2 linked regions of the Lonchura striata genome follow. The protein of the gene in region 1 interacts with the protein of each later gene in a biochemical or structural test. Links are inferred from orthologs where the notes say so. Each region holds a gene or a part of one and is shown in the gene's direction. Other genes may lie near its edges. The genes, in order: MYB and NLK.

What was found.
Region 2: of the proteins of MYB (region 1) and NLK, one has a biochemical effect on the other in vitro, tested with the Homo sapiens proteins (2 studies listed by BioGRID, with this or other methods). The link is inferred for Lonchura striata from reciprocal best matches to the Homo sapiens genes MYB and NLK.

What each region holds. Positions count from the first base shown.
Region 1 is NC_134605.1:58,243,366-58,247,266, reverse strand, and holds the start of MYB (transcriptional activator Myb), read left to right. Parts: upstream 1-1,195; coding exon 1,196-1,218; intron 1,219-3,901. UniProt on the Homo sapiens protein: Transcriptional activator; DNA-binding protein that specifically recognize the sequence 5'-YAAC[GT]G-3'. Plays an important role in the control of proliferation and differentiation of hematopoietic progenitor cells.
Region 2 is NC_134622.1:11,206,184-11,210,084, forward strand, and holds the start of NLK (serine/threonine-protein kinase NLK), read left to right. Parts: upstream 1-1,117; 5' UTR 1,118-1,259; intron 1,260-1,490; exon of another isoform or gene 1,491-1,546; intron 1,547-1,935; 5' UTR 1,936-2,500; coding exon 2,501-2,958; intron 2,959-3,901. UniProt on the Homo sapiens protein: Serine/threonine-protein kinase that regulates a number of transcription factors with key roles in cell fate determination. Positive effector of the non-canonical Wnt signaling pathway, acting downstream of WNT5A, MAP3K7/TAK1 and HIPK2.

The sequences.
Region 1 (3,901 bases):
GCCCGGCTGCGTGTCCATGCATCCCGGCGGGGCCGGAGCCGGCGACTCGCGTTACGCGGGAGCCCTCGGGAGCAAGGCGCCGCGGCGGGGCGGTGCGGGGCTGCCGCGGGCTGCGCCCAGCGCACGGCCCCGGCCCGCCCCGCAGCCCGCTGCGCCCTCCGCCAGCGGCGCCGCGGGCTCGGGAGCGGCCCCGCCCCGGCCCGGCCCGCCCCGTCGGCTGCTCATTGATGAGCCGCGGGCCTTTGAGGAAAGGGCGAGTGTGCCGAAACCGCTGCAAAGCCATGATTTTTCAAGCAGCAGCGCAGCCTGGGAACTTTGCATGTTTCACCATTTTTCACGTCCTGACTCATTTCTGTATCAAAAAATGTGTTCTCTGGAGCTCATCGGACACCCACCGCCCCTCCCGCCGCCGCGGCGGCAGGCAGCATCCACGCCGGGCGGCAGCAAGGGGAACTATAGCAGAAATCCCCTGCGGGCAGGCAACCGCAGTCCAGCCCCGGGCCCCTCCGAGTTCCCTTATTGCCAGCGGGGGTTGCTTGCCCCCGAGGGCTGCAGCCGCTGCAGCCCGCACCACGCAGGGAGCGGAGCAGGTGCACCCGCCGAGGCCCACCCTCCCCCCGTCGGCGGGAGGCACCTGCGTGGGCCGGGGGTCGGTCGCGGGGTCTCGCCCGAGAGTTCTCGCCCCACGCCGAGCCTCACCTTCCCCACCCGCCGTGCACGGCGGAGAGGGGCTGCCCCCCGCCCCGACAGCTCCATCGGCGACAGCCGCAGGGCACGGGGGGGCCGCGGCCGCGCCGTCGAGGGCCCGCGGCGCGGGAGCGGCGGCGGCGCTGGCGCGGGTGGCTCCCGCCGCTGCCGCGCGGGATGGGCGGGGCGGGAGGGCCCCGCGGGGCGCGCGGCGCCGGTGCGCCCGCCCCGCGCCCCGCCACAGCGGCACGGGCCCGCCAGGCGCCTGCGCACTGCAGGGGCGCCAGATTTGGCGGGAGGGGGAGTGTCCAAGGGCCCTTTGTTTGATGGCATCTCTGTTTACAGAGTTTACTCTTTAATCTCAACCTGTTTCCTCCTCCTCCTCCCGCGGCTCCTCGGCACTCCCGTGCGCGGCGGCGGAGCGCCCAGGCGCAGCCCGGCAGCAGGGCGCGGCGGCGGGCGCGGGCTCGGTCTCCCCCGTCCTCCTCCCCCAGCGGCCGGTGCGAGGATGTCCCGGAGACCCCGGCACAGGTAACCCGCTGTCTGCGGGCGGCGGACGGCCGGCTGCGCTCCGCGCCTGTCAGACGGGGCGCGGGACGGGAGAGAGAGAAAGCGGCAGCAGGCAACCGGCTCGCCCGGCGGACGGGCGGGCAGTCCCCCGTTCTCCGTGCACCTGGTCTACTCCGCCCCCGGAGCCGAGGCGCTCCCCTCCTCCGGAGGCGCCGGGAGAGCTGCAGCCCGGCGGGACGCGCCGCGGAGCCCCGGTGCCGGGGCGCTCGGGCCCCGCGCTGCACGCCTGCCGGGGGCCAGTGCTCGCCGCCCGCAGGAGCCAGCGCGGAGCCCGACGGAGCTGCGCGCTCCGCAGCCGCGAGGCGGGACAATGTCTGGCGGGCTCGGCGGCGGCAGGTAGCGCGTCCTTGTCCCATTCATTCATTCATTCCCGGCCGGCTGAGGCGACAGGTGGGCAGCGGGTGCGGGGACTGGGTTCGCTCCCTCGACTTTTTGTTTCCTTTATTCGTGCGGCCCTTTCGCCCTTGGAAGCGCGACTCTGGCCTGAGTGGCTTAGCTTTTCCCAGGTACACGCCACTTGGCACACGCAGGAGCGCGGCAGCGCGGGCGGGGGGCTGCGAGTCCGACGGAGCTCTCGGCCGCAGCTGTCACCCGTGGCCGCCAGCGTGCCGCGCACCCGGGCCAAGGCGATCCCTGCCACGCCGTGCAGGGGCCGGGGGCGGCGGTGTCCCGGGGGCGGCGGTGCCCCTGGGGCAGTGGTGCCCCGGAGACGGTGGACTGGACCGGACAGGGCGATAGCGCCGCGTGGCCGCGTCCGTGGCCCCGCTGCCGCGCGGGCGCACAGAGCGGAGTTGTTGTCTAATTAGCCAGGGACGGCGGGTCGGACACGTGGAGGCTTTTTTCTCTTTGCAGCCTGGCATCCTCCCCTCCTCCCCTCCCCTTTGGCTGGCTGTGACAGGGGAAGAGGTCGCAGCCCTGCCTGTCGCTTCCCGGGCGCCGGTCCTGTCCGGTGGGACTGGGGGCTTGGTGGGTTCTTTCTAAGGAAGAGGGGTTTGCGGTGCGGAAGGAGGCGGCGAGCCGCTGGGCGAGCGCCGGGCTGTACTTTCAGTGTCAGAGCGGGGCTGTCGCTTGAGCTGGCGGTGAATCACCCGGCCCGTTTCTCCCGAAAGAGAGGGACAGCTACCGCTGTCTCGTGGGCGCCTCCCGCAGGGACACGTCCGCCGCTCGGGACTGGGAGGCCGGGGCGGCACGGCGCGGTGTCCGCCTGATCCGGCGGGCGCGGCGCCGGCGGGCGCGGGCTCTGCCCCGCGGGGCTGGTGCCCGAATTCCTTCAATCACGGTAACAGCAGCGAGTCATTTCCTCTACACCTCCTTTTTTTTTTTTTTTTTTTTTTTTTTAACCTCTCCCTTTTTTTTTTTTTTTTGCTTTTTTCCCCGTGTATCGTTGCACAAGCCGGTTGCCTCGGCGAACAGCGCGGCGCTGATGGGGGGCCGGGGGACTCCCGCTGTCCCGGCCGGGCGGAGCGCCGTGCCGTGCCGTTCCGAGCCGCTTGGGGGGAGGCTTCAGGGCTGCAGCCGGAGGTGCAAAATAAAGTTTTAGAGCACCGCTGAAGGCCAAGTTGACTGAAAAAACAGCCGAGAGTCCCGGAATCCCCGGACACTTTTCTCCTGCTGGAGAGCGCAGGCAGTACAGTGGAGTTTGCTCAGTTCTGCGGTGCCAGCGAGGCCCCAGTCGTTTAAATAACCCTGTTACAGAACTGGCCCCACACTGAAGTCCTTAAACGTGTTGGCCGCTGATGCTGTGCTGCTGCTGCTGCAGAGCGGGGTTTCCCTGCGGCGCCCGGCCCGCACCGCCGCGCAGGAAGCGCCGCGGATGGATGCGGTCCTGCCGGTTGCCTTCTACGGAAAACTCATTTTCAAACTGCTACTTGGAAACTGTGCCACAAAAACTTCCTTTGCCATATGGGCAGCGGCGCAGCTGTCTGTGTGTGTCACTGAGAAAAGTGAATCTGCTTTGAGCGGCGGCTGGGGACCGGAGCCGCGCTGGTGGCAGCTGGAGCGTGGGAGCTTTTGCTCAAGCACGGGAGGCTCCAGCTGCCAACGAGGGGTGCGTGTGAAGTGGGAGCTTCCATCGGGGCTTACTCCCAGAGGTTCCGGGGTCTGGGAAATAGGGAGCGAATCGTGGGGCTGCAGGACTGCGGCGCGATGGGCACGAGTTGAGGGTAGTGGCGATGGGCTGGTTGGGTGAGTCAGGGGCACCCGGCAGAGGCTGCAGGATGACCACACACATCACAGCAGGCTGTGGAAAACTTTTTACATGTAGCATGTAAGCATGTTCTTTCATTACACAGGCCAGAAAACTGTGTGGAAGATGTAGGGTGTGATTAGTCCAGTACTTTAAAGAATTATGTTCAGTAGCTTGCCTTTTGGAGGTGTTCACATCTTGACAGTCATGGTGCTTCACTGCAACTTAATTGAAAGTCATCTCCTGAAAACAGGTTAACAGCATAAACAGTGCCTGTTAACTTTATTACAAAATAACTTTATTTTAATGTCTTAGTCATACTTTTAACTACCATACCATACCATACCATACCATACCATACCATACCATACCATACCATACCATCAGATATATCACAGTTTTTAATCTTAATGACACTGACTCCTTTCTAACACTCATGGCTAGCATCTTTTAGCTGAA
Region 2 (3,901 bases), on another chromosome or scaffold:
CCCAGCACAGCGAACACATCCCCTGTCAGTCACGGACTGCCTCCGAAATGCTCAGTTCAGTTACCTGAAAGAACCTCTTCATCACCCTCACGGTAATTTAACTCTACCACCATGGGAAAGGCTCCAGTAACCTGGGAGAGTTTTTCTGAAGTAAAACTATTAATCAGATATGATTAATATTCGCATGAGAAAATGGAAGGTGTTAAAACTTTTTTTTACCCACCCCTGTGTTTCAGGGAACACTGATGCCTTACCCAAAGACACTGCAGTCCCCAGGCATGCAGATTCATAGCGTGAGGGAGCTAAAACAACAACCAAAGGATATTTCGGTCCTGGTTAACACGTACCTGGCAGTGTCCCCTGAGCGTGTTCTGAGCACGCTGAAAGGAGCCTCGCAGAGACTGCCTCGGGCAATGGGCCACGCTGCTGGGAGCACTACACCCTCTCATTAGCGGTTTATTTCTCTTTCCTGCCAAGGGGAGCCCACGCACGGCGGGACATGGTGCCACAGCCCAGGGGCCCCGCTGCCAGCCCCGCAGTCGCCGCTCTCCGGTCCTCAGAGACTCGAAAAACAGGCCCCAAAACCCCACAGATCCCCTGCCCTTGGCGGGCAGCCCCCGTCGGCCCGCCGTGCTGCGGGACCGGCCCCGGCGGCAGGGAGCGGGCGATTCCCGAGGGCACCGTGACCCGGGCGGGAGCAGGGTGGGCACAGAGGGAGCTGCGGGGGCAGCGGAACCGGGCGGTGTGAGGGCACAAGGGCACCGGGACCCGGCGCGGCCGCTCAGCCCGCCCTCAGCGCGGCTCGCGCTCCGCCGCCCCCTCAGCGCCCACGGCGACCCCGCGCGCGCCGCGTCCTCACCTCACCCCGCCCCGGGCCGCGATTGGCCCCGCCCGCCGTCCGTCAGCAGATCCCCTCCGCCCATTGGGCGCCTGCCGCCCGTGGGCGGGCGCAGCGGCCGCTTCCTCATCCGTGATTTGCGGAGCGGCGGCTCCTCCGCCGCCCACCGGCTCCGCCACTGGCGAGGAGAGCTGTCGGTCGCGCCGCCGCCCGCCTCCCCGTGCCATTGGCCCAGTAACCTCTTTTCGGGCTTTCGTTTCTCTGCATTGGCTCATTGGACTGGACGGGCGGCTGCGATTGGGCGAAGAGCGGCTCCCGGGGGCGGCACTGAGCTCAGGAGCAGCGTCCATTGGCCGGCGGCCCGCCGTGAGTGGCAGGAGGGTGAAGGAGGCGGGCCCGCCCGGGGTGAGGGTTGTGTGAGGTGAGGGAATCTCGCGGGGTCTCGGCGGCTCCGGGCGCGGCGGCGCGCGCTGATTGGCCGGCGGGGTCACGGGGGCGGGGCCGCGCCGTGGAGAGGATGGGGGGGGGAGCTCCGCACGGCCGCGCGCGGTGGGCGGGGCGCGCCGGGCGCCGCGCGGCGATTGGTCGGGGGCGGCTCTCGCGCAGCCCGGCGGGCCGGGCGCGATTGGCTGCGGGCGGTGTCGGGCGCGCGCCCCGCAGGGGGGGGGGAGCGCGTGCCCGCGGCGCGGCGCGGGGCGGCGGGACCAGGTGAGAGCGGGGCCGGGGCCGCGGCCGGGGCCGCGCGGGGCGGGCACCCGGGGCCGCCCCCACACCCTCCCGCCGCCCGCACCGCGGGCCCCCTGCCCTCCACCCCCGGCCCGACGCCCCCCGGCCCGCCCGGCCCCGCCCCGCCGCGGGTCGCGCTGTCAGGGGCCGCTGCGACCTGCCCCGCGCCCCCTCCCCGGTCCCGCTCCGCCCCGTCATTCATTCGCCACTTTTCCCCCTCCTTCGCCCCCCCCTCCCCCCCGCGATCCCTGTCCTGCCCCGGCCCTTCCCTTCCTCCTTCTGTTTTTATCTTCTTTTAGCCCCCTTGCCCCCCTTTCCTCGCCCTGCGCCGCCCTCCCTTCACTTTCTCTGGGTCCTTGTGTGTGTTTCAGGCCTTCAAGGAAAAGTTGCAAACTCCCGAGTTGTTGCTGCTGTGAGGGAGCAGGTGCCTGGAAGGAGGGAGCAGGTGTCTGGAAGGAGGGAGCGATGTAGGAGGTGCCCGGGCGCAGGGAGGTTCGGGGGACACATGGAGAGGGTGTGGGAATGGCAGGGCTAGGCTGGCCAGCCCTCGCGGGGTGTTCAGGGCACAGGCTCCGAGCCCTCCCTCCGGAGGGAAGGGGGATTGATCACGGTGTTTAATTTTTATAACAAGAAAAACAACAAAAATAACCAAAAGTGAAGGAAAAAACCCACCCCGGCCCCACCCAGCTGCCCAAGGATGGAGTTGGAGTAGCCAAGCCCAGCTGGATGCTGGGGAAGGGGTTGGCGCCCGCACACATGAAGAGACTCCCCGAGTTGTTTGGCTTCGCGAGGAGATAAGGCCAGTGGAGCTCCATGTTTTTAAAGGTGGGCCGTGTATGATGAAACCCAACTTCTTTTAAAGTGTAGCAGATTTAATTTTTATGGCCAAATGACAGCTTGACCCAGTTGTTATCCAATCAAAGGGCATTTTTTTGAATGTCTCTTTGTGGCACAACAGCCAACGCAAAAATGATGGCGGCTTACAATGGCGGTACGTCTGCGGCAGCAGCAGGTCACCACCACCACCATCACCACCACCTTCCTCACCTCCCTCCTCCTCACCTCCATCACCACCACCATGCTCAGCACCACCTGCACGCCGGCTCGGCGGCCGCGGTGCACCCCGTGCAGCAGCATGCCTCCTCGGCCGCCGCGGCCGCCGCAGCCGCAGCCGCCGCCGCCGCGATGTTGAACCCAGGGCAGCAGCAGCCGTACTTCCCATCCCCGGCCCCGGGCCAGGCCCCCGGACCGGCTGCAGCAGCCCCAGCTCAGGTACAGGCTGCAGCAGCTGCTGCAGTCAAAGCGCACCATCATCAGCACTCACAACATCCACAGCAGCAACTGGACATTGAGCCGGACAGACCCATCGGATACGGAGCCTTTGGTGTTGTCTGGTGAGTAGAGACAAAAGTGAACCGATACCTCCTTGTCATTCTTTACCTGATCATAACTCATCCTTGTTTTTGTCATTGGAATCAGAATACAAGAGAGCTGCTTACTAAGAGTTTTTTTGCTGGTTCTTCTCCGTTCTTAGAAAGTTGCTTCGCTCGTTTGCGTTGGCAGAACAAGGTTCCCAGTGGTGAGGAGCCACCTCTGACTAACAGGCCACCCTGCCGTTCTGAGACAATACAGCTTATTTATGCCCTTTCTGTACCTTTAATTAGAGTGTGCATCCGTGCAGCTAAGCCGTGCTTCCTAAAATTTCAGGTTAACAAATGAGCACTGGAATATTCATTTTGACCTGGCTTAAGAGTCGGAAATGAAAAGCGTATGAAAATGTCTTCCTTGTGCAGTCACCTGTCAAGATCTTTGTCTCACGGCGGTTTGACCCGCGGTAGTGCTGTGTACTACCTCAAACAGCACAGCTGAACTCTGCTCCCCTCTCAAAAATGGAAATGGGATTTCCTGCCTCGCTGTAGCTCTGCCTCCGGCCCTTTTATCCCCCAGCCGCGTTTCAGAGGAGTCTGTCAGCGGAGTAGAATCTCTCCTAATGCATTTTATGACTACCTTAGAGCCATGTATGTAGTTAGTGCCCTTCAGGAGCACTGACACAAAGCTGGCAGCAGTATATGTGCATTTGTATATAAATGTTTGTTGGCGTGCCCTGTTCTGAGCTGTGCCTGGGAAGCATGAAGGCTGGCAGGGGGCTGTTCTGGAGAGCAGGCGTGTTGCAGTGCACTTCCTGCAGCACGAATGCAAAGTTTGCAGCGTGCAGCTGTGTGTGGTGTCCGAGCCCCCTGCAGCGTTCCCAGCCGAGCCTCTGGGGTGCCCCAGGAGTTTTGCTTTAGGCACTGGCCGAGCTGCAGCTTCAGTGAGACGAGTGGCTGGGTCACGGTG